Oreochromis niloticus: one gene and its partner. The protein of the gene in region 2 purifies or fractionates together with the protein of the main gene of each other region. This does not show direct contact. Links are inferred from orthologs where the notes say so. Each region holds a gene or a part of one and is shown on either strand. Other genes may lie near its edges.

The links.
Region 1: the proteins of neurl4 (region 2) and znrd2 purify together in Homo sapiens (co-immunoprecipitation; 4 studies listed by BioGRID and IntAct, with this or other methods). This does not show direct contact. The link is inferred for Oreochromis niloticus from reciprocal best matches to the Homo sapiens genes NEURL4 and ZNRD2.

What each region holds. Positions count from the first base shown.
Region 1 is NC_031975.2:19,046,002-19,053,916, reverse strand, and holds the start of znrd2 (protein ZNRD2), read right to left. Parts: upstream 3,009-7,915; 5' UTR 2,889-3,008; coding exon 2,873-2,888; intron 2,441-2,872; coding exon 2,289-2,440; intron 1-2,288. UniProt on the Homo sapiens protein: Might play a role in mitosis. Antigenic molecule. Could be a centromere-associated protein. May induce anti-centromere antibodies.
Region 2 is NC_031967.2:17,604,378-17,612,164, forward strand, and holds the start of neurl4 (neuralized-like protein 4), read right to left. Parts: upstream 3,007-7,787; 5' UTR 2,835-3,006; coding exon 2,619-2,834; intron 1-2,618. Other genes in the region: shbg (sex hormone-binding globulin), read right to left, coding at 4,190-4,326, 4,451-4,652, 4,780-4,916, 5,144-5,300, 5,448-5,609, 6,104-6,293, 6,540-6,637, 7,445-7,552. UniProt on the Homo sapiens protein: Promotes CCP110 ubiquitination and proteasome-dependent degradation. By counteracting accumulation of CP110, maintains normal centriolar homeostasis and preventing formation of ectopic microtubular organizing centers.

The DNA.
Region 1 (7,915 bases), on a different chromosome or scaffold from region 2:
AAAAAAAAAAAAGTAGTTTCACTGCTTGAGGCAAAAATACACTGTGTAATACAAGTCAAACAAAAAAAGAGATATCTGCAGCTGGTGATGTGAAACCAAATGTAAACATGACTCCGCTGAGCATCGCTGGGGCACTCCACATGACAGGAAGAGCGTACAGCGGATTGAAATTACTGATGCAGTTAATATGGTGGTAAAGGACGGTTTTAACCCTCTACACCCCATAACAGTTGCTCTAAACTTCCCCTTAAATGCATGTTTCTACTACTATTTGTGTACACACTATATTTTAAAATATTTGAATAACACTGACACCTAACAACAAATTAGGGGAAAAAAAAGACACATTTCAATTAAACATTAGGCGATATTTCACGTTTTCATCCCAGTCACTTTGTCTGGCATTCATGTGTAGTAAGTGAAGACTCTCGGATCACCGTTTACCTCAGCTGTCAATATGCTGGGTGAGAATCCCCCATGTGCATTTACTCTGAAGGAGGGTGTAAAAGCTTGTGATGAGTCAATGAGTCAGAGAAGCTCACTCCTTACTGATGGCGAGTTGTTGTTACTTCTCTGTCAATAAACGCTGCTTTTTCGTTTTTCCCTGATGTGAGCTTGTGTGAGAAGCTTTCTTTTAAGTGGCTCTAACGCTGTCAGCCTGTATGAATAAAATCTCAGACGATGTGAGAGTGTAATCAAACTGTTTATCGGAGGGAATATTGGATTTTTATTTAGCTGGCACAATGTTAGCGTATAACCAGGTGGTGTTGTTATAGTTGGTATGTTGCCAGCTGTCTGGAGACAGGAGTGTCTAATCTGCTGACAACCAGGTAAAATCTGGACTAAATAAGTATGTTTATTGACATTTTCTTATGTTAAAGCATGTAATTCAGCTCACGAGATGAGACTACAGGTGAGCAGGAAGAGGATGAGGTGGGCATAAGGGAGAAGAGAGAAGTGGTGAATGAGGCAGATGAAGAAAAGAGAGAAAAAATGATGACGAAAATATAAATGTACAAATCTTATATAGTTTGAAAGATCTATCTGTGCCATCTTCACATTAAAACTAACTTATAAAATTCACACTTTACCCTATTTATTTAGGGTTTTTTTTCTATATTTATGTGTTTGTAATACTTATCAGATTTCCCCTTTTGGGACATCCTAACAGAACTGTAACGCTTATAGATGAACACTAGAACCCTCAGTAGTTAAATTTGATCACCAAATCTGTGTGCTCACTCCTCTGCCTCAGTCTGCAGCTCTTCACCTCTCCTGCTCAAGAGTAAAACAGATTTGGTTGCTGTGCTCTGGATTTCACTCTTTATTTGCTCGGATTAGCTCTGCATCCTCTAGGCTCTCTATTCAGTTCAGCTACGGCTCCTCTGCTGCTCTGCACAGCCATCAACCTTCCTGGTTCCTCACACATTCAGTCATACAGCGCTCTGTACCACTCCTCTTCGGCTTGAAATCCCATCCTCAGCCTTGCAATAATTATTTACCTTGGCTCTAACTACAGTCCCCCTACATACTGTTTTTAATCAATCATATCTGGCAAGGTCTGGCTCATGTGTAAACACGGTATTGCTAGGCAACCCTGTGTGCTGCAGCAGTGGTTTCACATCAGTTTCTATGGGGTCAAAATGATGTCCTCCGTGGTTCTAGGTAAAAGCACTCATAATATTTTTCCCTTTTGATCCCACACTCCAAAATTCAGTATTTGATGAAATACGAGATGATGATGGGGTTTTAATTTAACAAAGTTACACAACTTTTAAAATGCCAAGAGGGTCAAAATGACCTCCTTCCTGTGTTAAACAGGTGGTTAAAAAGCTCAACTAAGCTATGACATCCCAGGTAGAAAATATTATTTAATTTTATTAGGTCCAGGTTAAGTTCCTTTAGTTGGAATAGTTGCTGTGAAACTGCTATTATTTTAACCTTTTTTTAAGCGCTTACTGAAAATTTCCAGGGATTACATTATTTAAGCCATTTCTGGGCTTACATTTGGCCTTTGCTCTCTAACTGTTTATCATGCAGTGTCAGTACTATTACACTATAACCCTGCTGGCATCTTGTGACAATAGATCCACACTTCAAATTAGGCAGTCTTCATTTTGTTTGCATTTATGAATGCTGCTGGCTGGGAGCTGCAATCACAGAACGTTCATATTTTTCTATATACTTAGAAATATAACTATTGCATATTTAATAAACGACCGTGATAAAATTTCAGAGGCTAACTCGCCCAACCTGACAAACACAGCACAGCGTCCTGCTTCACTCACCCCACACACTTCGCAGCAGTCTCCAAGCATCTTGTACCCTTTCAGCAGGTAGTCTCCCATCAGCTTGCTGATTTTGTCTTGCCGCTCCCTACGAGCCTGGATCACCTTCATTTCTGCTTCTGTTGGAGGCTCCCACTTAAAATCCTCTTCATCTGCAGGTCAGTAACAGCCAGAACGTTTAATTTTATTTTCAGATTTCAGACCAGAACTCTCCTTCTTTCGTATTCTTAATACTTTAGGATTATAAACAGTCTTAAGCGCTGCTGTAACTTGTGGATACTATTATATGTCTGCTTCTACTTTACCGTTTCAGCGGGATTATTACAAAACCTTTTTGGCACTGTTTTGAAGTGTGACTATCACAGGTGAACTGCTCTGCTAGGAAATGACAAGCTAGCTAGCAAACCAGCCGGGCTACCGTTTGGCTAACAACATGTTTACGCTGGCAGCGACGAATTTAAAAGCAAAAATAAAGTAACCCAGAGGAACAGCCTCAATAAAAATAATTTCTTTTTTAAATCACAATGCAGGCAAGCAACAGAAATGTCAAAGTCAGCTTGTTTTTATAACACAAGTTCACAAACCTCCATTCAAAGCCATGTTTCTTCTGTGCTACACGTTGTACGTGATGACGGAGTCACGCAATGCAACGCTTCTTCTTCCTCTTCTGCGTTCGGCAAATATTTGAGCACAGCTGCCTGCCCCTAGTGGTAAATATTGGTAAATACCACAAGAGTTATTTATGTTATGTTCAAAAATGGTAGCAAAAGCGCCACCGTGTGCTGATTAGTTAATTAAACCAAACAATTAAATCGTTTCAGCTAAACTTCTCATATTATTCTTATTCTTTTTCTTATTATTGTAATAAATTATTAAGAGAGTGAGAGCAGTCTTGTGCTAAAAAGTATAGCACAATTTTGAAGACTGAAAGGATGCCTGAGAAATGGAAGTGCACTAGAGAGGGATAAAGCTGATGGGCCACACCATTGATTGATTGATTGATTGAATCTTTATTTTGAACATGTTGAAAAAGTACAACAACATAGAATTAAAAACAGACAAATAAACAAAGCAAAACAAAAGGAAAACGAGCAACCACAACTACAAATAACTTTCATGTTCAAAAAGGAGCAGGAAGAAGCATAAGCTTATTTAATCCCACCCCTTTTCCACTATCTAGTAATCAATAGACTACAGAAATACCTAATTACATTATATGTTACGTGTATTTTTATTTATTTATTTATTTATTAATTTGTTAGCATATATATATACTGTTGTACCAAGCGTGAAATAAATAAATGAAATGAAATGAAATGAAATGAAATATTGACTGTCAGAGAGTAATTTATGTTTATCTAAGAATTTGTCTAATCGTTTATTAAACAGGTTTTCTAGGATTTTGGAGAATTGTGGTAGTAAAGAAACAGGCCTGTAATTTGTGAAGTGGTGTCTATCCCCAGTTTTATACAGCGGCACAACTTTAGCTATTTTCATTTTGTTTGGAACTTTTCCAGTCTGAAATGATAAGTTGCAAATATATGTTAGAGGTCCTACAATTCCTTCTATGACCTTCTTGACGATTTTCATGTCAATATCATTACAATCAGTAGATGTTTTATATTTACACATGTGTACAGTGTCAGTTATTTCTTTTTCCTCCACTGCTGTGAGGAACATTAAGTTAGGGTTCCTATCAATCAGGCATTCACTACAGTCTACTGATGGCAGTGACTCAGGAATTTGTTCTGCCAGATTTGGTCCAATATTTACAAAATAATGATTAAAGCTGTTGACCACATCAGCAGTGTTTTCCATAATATTGCCATTTTCAGTAAAATGTTGAGGTTAACTTTGTTGTCCAGAATTATTTTTCAAAGTCAAAGTCAAAGTCAGTTTTATTTGTCAATTTCTTCAGATGTACTTGCCATACAAAGGAATTGAAATTACGTTTCACACTGTCCCATGCGTAGACATAGACAACAATAAAGTGCAGATGCACAACATTTAGGTACATACAGGATGTAACAAGACAGGACCTACACATAACATATAATAAAGTGTTCCACAGTGCGCCCTGGAAAGTAGTGTACTTGTCTACTTGACGTAGTCCCAGGTTGTGGTTGGTAAGTGTTTTTGTTTTAATGCAGCATAAGACTGTAGCAGCAGTAATAGTAATATAAATAATATAAATAGTGCTAAAGAAAATACTAAAAATATATAGCAGCAGGTGTGTGCAATTGTAATGCAGAGGTAGTCGTTTCCAGTCAGGAATGTGGAGAGTGTTTCCTTGTTGTGGAGTGTGTGTGTGTGTGTGGGGGGGGGTCCAGTCTGTCTTCCTATACTCCTGCCAGTCTGGTGGTTCTGCTGGCTGGGAGCCGGGAGGGGAGAGAGTTCAGCAGTCTCACAGCCTGGTGGATGAAGCTGTTGGTGAGCCTGGTAGTGCGGGAGCGGAGACTTCTGTATCTTTTTCCGGAGGGCAGGAGGCTGAACAGGCAGTGCGCGGGGTGGGTTGCATCGTTGACAATTGTGATGGCTTTGCGGGTAAGGCGGGTGGTGTAGATGTCTTGCAGGGAGGGGAGTGGTACACCAACTATCCTCTCAGCTGTTCTCACAATGCGCTGTAGAGCTTTTCTGTTATAGTCAGTGCAGCTACCGCCCCACACAGTGATGCAGCTGAAAAGGATGCTTTCAGTGGTTCCTCTGTAGAATGTGGTCAGGATGGGTGGTGGAGCACTTGCCCGCTTGAGTTTGCGCAGGAAGTAGAGGCGCTGTTGTGCTTTCTTGGCCAGTGATGCTGTGTTGGTGGTCCAGGAGAGGTCCTCACTGATGTGCACCCCCAGGAACTTGGTGCTGCTCACCCTCTCCACCGCAGCGCCGTCGATGGTCAATGGGGGGTGACAGGTGTGGTCTCTCTGGAAGTTGACAATAACCTCCTTGGTCTTGCTAACATTTAGCAGGAGGTTGTTGTCTCTGCACCACGTGGTCAGGAGCTCAACCTCTTTCCTGTAGTGGGTCTCATCGCCCTTGGTGATGAGCCCCACCAGCGTTGTGTCGTCCGCAAACTTCACAAGGTGGTTGGAGCTGTAGGTTGTTGTGCAGTCATGTGTCAGCAGGGTGAAGAGCAGAGGACTGAGCACACAGCCTTGTGGAGCCCCCGTGCTCAGGGTGATGCTGTTTGAGACCTTGTTGCCCACACGCACCGCTTGAGGCCTCTGGCTGAGGAAATCCAGCAGCCAGTTGCAGAGGGAGGTGCTGAGGCCCAGTCTGTCCAGTTTACAGATGAGTTGTTGTGGTATTATGGTGTTGAATGCTGAGCTGAAGTCTATGAATAGCATTCTCACATATGAGTCTTTCTTGTCCAGGTGAGTTAGGGCTGGGTGGAGGGCAGAGCAGATTGCATCTTCTGTGGATCGTTTCGCTCTGTATGCAAACTGGTATGGGTCCAGGGTGGGAGGCAGGGTGGATTTGATGTGTGACATGACTAGTCGTTCAAAGCACTTCATGATAATGGGTGTCAGTGCCACGGGGCGGTAGTCGTTGAAACAGGCTGGGGATGGTTTCTTTGGCACAGGTATGATGGTGGCAGTCTTGAAGCATGATGGGACAGTGGCTTGCCTCAGGGAGATGTTAAAGATGTCTGTGAAGACATCCTTCAGCTCCTCTGCGCAGTCTTTCAGCACACTACCAGGGATGTTATCTGGACCCGCTGCTTTCCGGGCGTTGATGGTGATGAGTGTCCTCTTCACGCTGGCAGCAGACAGGCACAGAGGCTGGTCGTGTGGAGGTGGTGGTGTTTTCTGTGGGCGTGTGTTGTTCTGTGCTTCAAATCGTGCAAAGAAGCTGTTCAGGTTGTTGAGCAGAGTGGTGTCGCTCTCACAGCTACGCGCTGCAGGCTTGTAGTCTGTAATAGCCTGGATGCCTTGCCATAGGCTTCGTGCGTCCTTGCTATCATTGAAGTGGGAGGTTATCTTGTGTGTGTAGTCCTGTTTCGCTTTCCTGATGCCACGGGACAGGTTGGCTCTCGCTGTTCTCAGGCCTATTTCATCCCCAGCTCTGAAGGCCTTGTCTCTGGCCTTCAGCAGCCTGTGGACATCTCCTGTTAGCCATGGCTTCCGGTTGGCTCGAGTTGTGATACTTTTTTTTTAATGATACAGTTTAAAACATCCCATATTCCCTTCATATTATGTTTATTGTTGATCAATGTTTTACTATAATACTCCTTTCTACATACACATATAATATTGGTCAACTTATTTTTGTATTTTTTATATTTATTTTCAGCATCTTTTGTTCTTTGTTTTAGGAATTCCCTATAGAGTGTATTTTTCTTTTGTAAACCCTTAGTGATCCATGGTCTATCTGAATTTTTGTGCTTTCTGTTGCATTTTATTGTTGGACAGTTTTTATCGTAAAATTCCATGAATTTTTTTTTTTTTTTTTTGCCTGTCCCGTTTGGCTCTTTTGCCATCAGAATTATTGTCTAAAGGTGAAGAAGATGCCCAACGGATTTACTTTACCAAATGGACCATCCCAGCCTTGCCGTAATGGTCTATTTGATTCACCTTTTATTGTTTATTTTATTTTATTTTCACTTGCTAAATACGGGACAGACTTGACTGGGGAAAAGAAAGGGGCGAAAGAAAGGGAAAGAAAAACAGCGGGAAAGAGGAAAAGGGCAAAAAACAAAAACCAACAAAATAAGCAGACAAGAAATACATATATCAATCACCTGGATCACCTGTTGAGAAAGAAAAAAGAGAAAACAAGCAGAAAAAAAGAGAGCAATATAATAAACAACATCATCACGATGATCTATGGGAATATAACAGTAAATACTAAATATTAAACATTATTGTGCAGCACGTAAGATCGACAGCGCACAGTGTGCTTTGAGGTAGGAGCCAAAAAGGGTGTAGTTTGTGTGTACACCTGTGAGCATGAGTGCGCTTGTATTTAAAAGGTTCCTTCATGTAATGATCTGCTAGAGGGTGTGGGGGGCGACAGCCCCGTCCTCCAGGGCATGAAGCAGGTATGGAGGAGATCAAAACTCCAGACATCCAGAGGCCCTCAGAACACAAGAGACCAAGGAAGACCAACAGAGGGGCAGCCGCGCCACTATCCCGGAAAGAGCGAGAGAGAAGCCGGGGGGGGGGTTGCAGTGACGTGCCTGTGAGCTCCGCCGGCAGCCAGCTGTGCCAGAGTGACCGAGCCCTAGGCCGAGAGGCCGAGGGCACCCCACCCCCGAAGTGGCCCCCCACCCCCGAAGTGGCCCGAGCGAGCCCCGGGCTCCAGGCCCCGACAAGCAGCCACCAGGAGTGAGCCGGTGTGTACCCGGACGCCCATCCCCGGACACAAAGAACAGATACAAACATCCATTCCCACCCTCATGCTCTCATATGCAATTACTCAACACTCACCCAATGTGGAGACAGACATAAACAGACAGTGTACACACAATCACACTCCCCAAGCGTACTCTAAACCCCAGGTCTAGGTACCCTTGCCCCTGGAGGGGGAAACTGCACCCAGACCCAGGTAGTGTTACCCTTTTCTCTGGGGTGGAGAGAAGCAGACTGCCCTGACTCAGCAGCAGCAGGGAGGCCCCACATTCCGGACCCCAATCG
Region 2 (7,787 bases):
CACAGAGCCACGAACCCCTGTCGTCTCGACGAGGACTCGTCTCCTGGCTCGCTGCACTCCACCTGCTGCTCAAGGAGAAAGGGATCTGACAAAAACCTCAGCGGTGGATAAAAGCCTCAGCTTTATGCTCAGTCATAACCCCCCCACCCCCACCCCACCCCCAGTAGGACTCCAGTGTAAGAGATGACCGTGACCGATCACTGAAACCCTTCCAGCTCCTGGGATGTTTTTCTGCAGCTGACTTCTGTGCCAAAGACACTTTCCCCAGGATCAATACCATTTTTTTTTTTAACACTACAGTCAGCCTCCTCCTGCCCACCTCTTCCTCAGCTCCGCGGCAGGTGCTATGTAAGGCAGTGTGCTACCGCAGCCAGGGTATCTGGGTTAACAGATCTGGGAGTAGCTCAGGCTGACCGGGTCTGTGTGTGTGGAGGAGACAGACATCTCCTTCCCTCGCGCTCTCGCTTACGTAACAGCAGCCTGTGGGCGTCTGCCTCCCAGTCTTTCACTCGACTCGACTCTAAAAGACTAATAATCGCAGGCTGCAAATATACACACTGAGCGGGACAACAGAGCATCTTTTATAGGGAAACAGAGAAGTTTATAGCCTGTCGATTTCAAAAGCACCACCTATGGGGAGCACCGCTAGAGAGAGGAAACGCAGAGGCTCAGCTTTTGGGGCACAAATTCTCACAACAACAAACTCCCATTTGGGAGCGAATAAACATTTTCCAGCCAGATCGGCATGACTGTGAGGAACACAAAGTGGCACAACTTGCTGAATTTGTGTGCTTTTAAAAACACGTTAGACTTGAAAACCTATGACTTTAGCGTTAACTCGTAATTAAACAGTAACAGCAAGAAAAGTAGCATTTCAAAGTAGATATTAGTGCCAATTATATTGATCTACTCATCACATTAAGCACAATTCAAAACTTGATACTGTCACACAAGACAAAACACAGCTAATCATTTTAGCTTTAAGTAACTCCCAGTATGCAAAACGCGTGACAGAGTATTCCATCTCACTAGTTGGATCTTCTGCTGAATCCTATCATAGATCATTTCTTTCTTCCTCAAGTGAAAAAACACCCGCAGAGTCCTGCTCCAATAAATCACTTCATTCCCCCTCATGTGTTTACGTCCCCCCACCCTGGACGTCAGCACTCAGAGTCATACCAGCGGGTGCTCCATGATGACAAACTATTGATTTTCAGACTGGCAATGCATGCAAAGACGGGGCGGGAGCCTGTTTATGAGAGCCTTTATCAGGCTGAGAGCTCCACCAGGGATGCATAATTATCTAACGTGCAGCAGGTGCTATTAAGCCAGATGCTTTACGTGCACACACGCTATGCTTTTAGACGGCTGGACACACTGTCATTTCGTGTGTGTGTGGGGCCCAGTTGGCTTTGGCACTGACTCCAGTGCTGCCATGTTGTTGGCAAGCGCAGCTGGGAGGCCGACTGCAGAGACAGAAGCCATTACAACGGAGGTTTTCCACAACTGAAATGTAAACACTCTGCACAGGCACTCTTAATGCATGGAGATAACAAGGTCAAGGCTGCTAATTCAAGGAAACAGAACATTAGGCCACCTCTACCTGCAAAATTACATAATTAAAAACTGGTTTAAGCTTCATCAGTGGATGTGAACTGTAGCTGTAAGCTCTCTTTGCACTTGTGATGGAGGAGAGGCAGGACTTTGACTGGAAATGAAGGGAAAAGAAAGGAAAGAGATCACCTGCACTTAACTTGATGATGAAAACTGTTAACAGCAGCAGGTCTAGTAAAGTTAGACACATGATATCCGTGATTTTGTGTTTAAATGGTTGTGAAGTCAGCCGAAAGAGTGCATGTAATTAATGAGTAACAGCATGAAGTAGTCACCTCCGTGCTCCACTTTTTGAGCAGCAATTCTAGCGGTCTGCAGACGCTTTGCATACGCACAGAGGTGAGCGGAGGCTGCAGAGCTGAGGCTTTCAGCACACAGGCTCTGGTTAATATTAATGACAGTGGTAACAGCCTCGGTGTAGTCACTGTGTACTGTTCACACATGGCCTCTGAGTCACTACGATAGCCCCGTGTGGCGTGAACACTGCAGTGTTATTAGCCATCGGACAGACAGCCTGACAGGCGACCGATCCTTCAAAACAAGCCCTAAAAGAGCCGCACTTACCGGCTTAGCTGGGATTCTTTCACGCGATAAAACGATACCGGGTCCCTGTCAGCGCCAGACAAAGCCCTCGTAGCACCTTCCAGAAAGGCTAGCCCTGGCCAGCCTGCTAGCGGCTCATTAGCACGGCTATCTGACGGCACCAAGGCAACACGGGCGGGCTATCGTTAGCTAGGAGACTCGTTTATCACATCCAGCCCACAGCAGGCTGTTTATCAGCTCCCTGCGGTCCTCCCCAGTCTCTGTCGGTGTATCTAATTAAAGCCTGAGGAGCCGTAAACACTGCGGCTACTGTCAAGCCCTGTGTGTGCCGCCCTAGCAGCAGCAGTAGCTTTAGACCGCGGACAGCCACAGACCCCCGGCTCGTCCCTCCAGCTCCGCTCCCGTCCCGCTGCCCTCACACACGCTCAGAGGAGCCAGCAACGGGCCTGCAGTTTGTTTACCTTCTTGTCAATGCGGACGGTGAAGACATCCCGGTCCCTCAGCGGCTCTTTGCTAAGCACCAGGCCGTGATTGAACTCCTGGACTGGCTGGTTGCGACGGGCGGTTCGGTTCGAGTTGGACAGGCCGATCAGCTTTCCGCTCCGCGGATGCAGCTCCGCCGCCATCTTCAGTGGGCGGCCAGTATTCACGACAGCGAGGCTTTGCGACAGTAACATTATGGCAGCCGGCAGATATGTGGAATCGTTAGCAACCGCACCGCAGGCTTTAATGACTGAAAGCGTGGCGTCATTTTAAAGCCTATATAAACGCTTTGGTTCAGAAGCTAACGCTTCTACATTCACCGTAGCCTCATTGTACACTTTTGATTATTTCTCACTTTATTGGCTCGAGGGCTAAAAACTTTCTACTTTAACTACAGTTAGAGTCACGTTCGTTATCAGTTTGCATTTTATCGCTTTATGTATGTGTTTTTATTATTATATGATTGTCTAGTTAAATATTAATAGGTGTTATTATATTTTTTTATTCTATTTACTGCTAGTTTAACGCTGTCTTGGGAAACAAATGTATATAATGTTTTGAATGAAAATAAATCTATTTATCTGTCTGTGTTGCCCGACCTTTCACATCTTCCAGTTCATTTCAAAGCTGCACATAACATTTTGATGACTTCTTGCAGCGATAAGTGAATACAGACATAATTTTAACTGAAACTGATCTTGAACATTTCATTCATATTTGCTATAGTCTTTCTTCTTTTCTTCTTTTATAATTTAAAGTTGATGAGTAATATTTGTACTTTTTCCGTGTATCTAATTTATGGGATAGATGACGTCATACACAAGGCTCTGATGAATTTAACATTATATTTAATTAACCACTAGAGGGAGCAATTTTCATGTCTAAGATCAGTCACTCGGCGACAGCGAGCGGGTTCTTGTGAGGCATGCGTGAAAAGACTGGCTGAACCTAAGTTGAAAGAATTGAAGAAAATTAGAATTAAAATTTGGCTTTAAAAGACATCGACTACACTCAGTGATGGTAGCCTCGACCATCCAAAGAAGAGCCTTGAATGTCCTTCAGGAAGCCTGGACAACTATTCCTGGAGACTATTAAAAGAAATTACAAAAAAAAAACAACAACAAAAAACTGAAGAAGAATAAACTGAAGAATAAAGGTGTTCATAACAAAATAAGATCTGTTTCATGTGTTTGAGGATTACAATCCTCAAACACATCTTACGCCTCTATTTTGCCTTAAAATATACCAGAAAAATGAATATGTATCAGAAACCACTTTAGGGAAAGTCATATTTTATTCAGCAGCTTGCTGTTGCACGTACCAGGGTCACAAAACTGCTCACATTTATCAGATTTATCTGTATGTTGTGTTAAAAGTGGGAAAGTGGAAGAGACATCTCATAAAATATTAATATTTAGCACTAAATTATTTACACTTTGGAGATTCACTGGTACAAGTATAAAATTCTGACTTAAAACACTTTAGTGCTCATCACTGCAAACACCATGTCTACTCAGCATACCATAAAGTGTAAGCATGCTTTCGTGGTTTAAGCGGGGCAGCTGTGAGAGGAAACGGACACGTGTTTGACGCGCGCCGAATCCAGATCCAAATCCTTCCCTTGGACCTGGATCTTCTCCAGACAGCCTGTCAAGAACTTGGAGCCGACATCGTCGTCATTCTCACCTGAAAAGACAAAATAGATGAAGAAATTGATCGTCTTCACGAGTTACACAGAGCAGATCCTTTTTTTGTGTTGCTGCACAGTGATACAGGATTAGACTGAAATACTTTAAAGCTGCAATCTCACCCAAAAGGCCTCCAATGGCAAGATGACCATCTCTCCAAGCTGATAAATAACTGGTGTTGCTCCCTGCACTGACTGAAAAATCAGCCGATGATTCATCCTCATGTTTAACCACCCTCAGCGAATCCTTCTGAAACTTAATTTGGAGCCTCTTGAAAGTGTTCTTCATGGTGAGCACCTCTTCTCTAGAGGTGAATGTGAAGTCCTGCATGCCAAATGGAAACAGAACTGTGACGTACACTGATCTGTGTGTGTTATTTGCATGAAACAAACATCATTTCTAAGTTAATAATCCTGCTTCGAGGGCAAATACATCTGACTTATGTGGATACCTTTGTGTTATTATCAGCTACCACAGAGAACACGAGCTCCTCCCCATCAGCTTTGATGCTCAAAAGGGTCCCGTCCATCTGGCTGAAATCCCCCCACAGTTCAATACGGACCCCGTGATCTTCATCGATCTGGAAATCTGGGAAAAAAAGAAATGTGTGGATGTGTTGAGTTGGTTAAATAAATACAAATTAACGTGCTGAATCTGATTAGAAGGAGTACTACTTAGAAGTAGGAGAAATATTGCTACCCGAGATGCCATATCATGCATAAATGCAATATCCGGGCCAGCTGGAAAGCTTGTTATTGAATAAAGGAGTGTAAACACTTGCTCGTATCTGGGATAATTTAGCAGAGTGTTCCCACCTGAGGTGTTGAAAATGGCAAATCCTGTGCCAGGGAAGTAGCTGCCAGGTTGGATGTTTTCATAGCAAGGCTGGAGCTCGTCTGCCTCTGCCACCCATGGGACGGTGAGGTTCAGCCAGTTGCCTTTCCGCACACAGCCATCCATTTTGGGATTGAACTAAAGGAAGAGGGCACGAGGTGGATGATTCAGACATGTTCAAGAAGCTATTTTCCAGAGGTCTTGTCCAAGGAGAGGAAAACAGCATCTGGTCTATTTGCAGCTGAAGTGTGGTTTAAAACAAAAGGTGCAAAATACACAAAGTACCTGAACAATCATCTTTTCTTTGCCGATCAGCATCCCGCCAAGGGACAGTCGTAATTTACCGTGAATGACCTCCTCTATCTGCTTGGAATGCATGCCCACCACCAGCCCGCCAGTGCCATCCACCTCCAGAATTACGAACTTGCCCTGGTTGCTCACTTCCATCTTGGTGGCATCAAGAGAACAACAAACGGTACAGTTAGCCAGTTTTAAGATGAGCTGTTATGCTCATTTCGAACATGGTTTTGTTCTCGCGCTCTCAAGGAGCCCTTCATAATTTCTTATACGGAGCCTTTGTGCAGCTCCAGAGTTCTCTCCCTGCCTGAAACCAGCAGTTTTAGCCACTCCCCCTTCAAGGCTACTCCAGCTTTCTTCTGATTGGCTGTCTCTTGCAAACAAACCACGAGCAGCAGATGGGCGGGATTTGTGTGCTCACAGCTGTGTTCCTTATATGACCATAACCATAATAATTTGCATATAAACTGACCTCAATATTTAATATGAACATCCATTACTGTGAGAATATATATATATATATATGAAAATATAGAAAATAAGGAAAAGGATAAGGGGGCGAGTTTTTAAAAAGCATCATAAAGCAGTTCTTTAGCCAATTAGAGTTCAGCAAACTGATTTCCAAGTGATCACTGGATGCTTACTGTGTGCCATTTCCCGTCATTGAGCCTCGGGGTGCCCGCTACGCTGACGAGCACGCCTTCTTTGTTGATCTGCATCAGGGGGACGCCGTCTTTCAGCGACAAAACAAACCAGTCATCCCCGTTTTGTGTGTCTCCGTAGAAAACCAGACCTTCTGGGTCAAATGTCCGGAACTGAAAGGAGGATTTGATGCTGCGTGGCAGAATAAAGATACAGTAAATTGGAGTGAAGGCTGCTCATTGGTGCATTAATAAGACAACCTGCCTTATTTATCTTTGACTGATCTTAGAGAGCTCATGTACGCCTGTTCAGTAAAAACTGAACTTCAAGGTCACGTTTTAATTTGAAATCCCAGAAGAATTGTGTGCACCTTTATGCCCACAGAGGAGCTGCTGTGCAGGCTTAACGGTGCACTGATTTGCTCCATCGCTCACGTACCTGCCGATCTGACTAAGGTTGACCGTTGTGTGGATCAGCGGCCTCCAGTCGTGCGTGTTCTGGCCCAGATAGACGGTAGAACTGCCCGGCACCTCTTTCTGGAAGACACAAGCTTCATCTCGCACTGATCTGACACTTAGGTCGTTACTCACAGCTTTTTATTACACGCAGCTCTCATTTATCGAACTCGGCCTCAGTATTTTACACTCAGAGATCTTCATTGGCTGCTCGTTAAAACCACATTAAACCGAGAGATGAAATTTATTCAGTTATTGATTCGACTTTAAAAAAAAGCTGAACAGAGCAGTGTGCGCAAATTATTAAGTGGTGATGAAGTGCCACATCACTGCATTTCATTGACAAGAGCAACCACACAACATTCACTTGTGGATATGAACCATGTGTATGTAGAACATTTAAGAGGAAAAACAAGTCTTGCTTTTCTTTTTGTGTTAGTAATTTCCAGAAACTGGGACAAAAGTAAAGTATTTCCTCTCTTATCTTAATTATGCCGATGTGTCTGCAAACTGAGCAAACTGAGCAAAGTCTAAGCAAATGATGGGATCCCCCCTCCCCTTTTGATTGGCACATGAGCTGGATACAGTATGAGTTAGCTCAGGACTTTTAGACTTTTATTCTTTAAAACATAACCTATGAGCCAACAAAGTAGATTTTTCTCAAAGAAAAAGATGTATCTAAATGATACATGCAGATATTTCCAATGATCAGGAGCTGTAGCATGTAAGTGTGCAGAAACAATATATGTCACTAGAGTCATCCATGCTTCTGCAGAGAATCAGGGACTTCATTAAAGGCTGAAAAGGTGCATATAGATGATACTTCCTACACACACACACACAGAGTGCACATTTTAATTCTAGGCATTGTGTATCGCAGTAACATACCTTATCACGTCCGTTTCCCTGGCCCTCAGCTCCCCACCCCAGCAAAATAAGGTTCAGAGTGAGCAGCAGTGCACCTGCCATTGCTTTCCAAGTCATCCCGCAGCACATTCACTGACCCAGGCCTCGCAGCGTTCAGTCCCCACAGCTCACGGTTGGTCCGGCTACACTGCGATGCAGATGGAGGTCGAGTTAAGATGAGGAGCAGAGGGATTATGGAAAAGTGTGCAGTGTGCAGTGCGCTGGCGTGTGCTGTCACAACTCCCGGGATCCAGAGGGCATCTCTGGTCAGGGCAAGCTATCGATCCCTGAGGCCGGAAGGCCGCGTTGGTTGAGACCAGTGTTT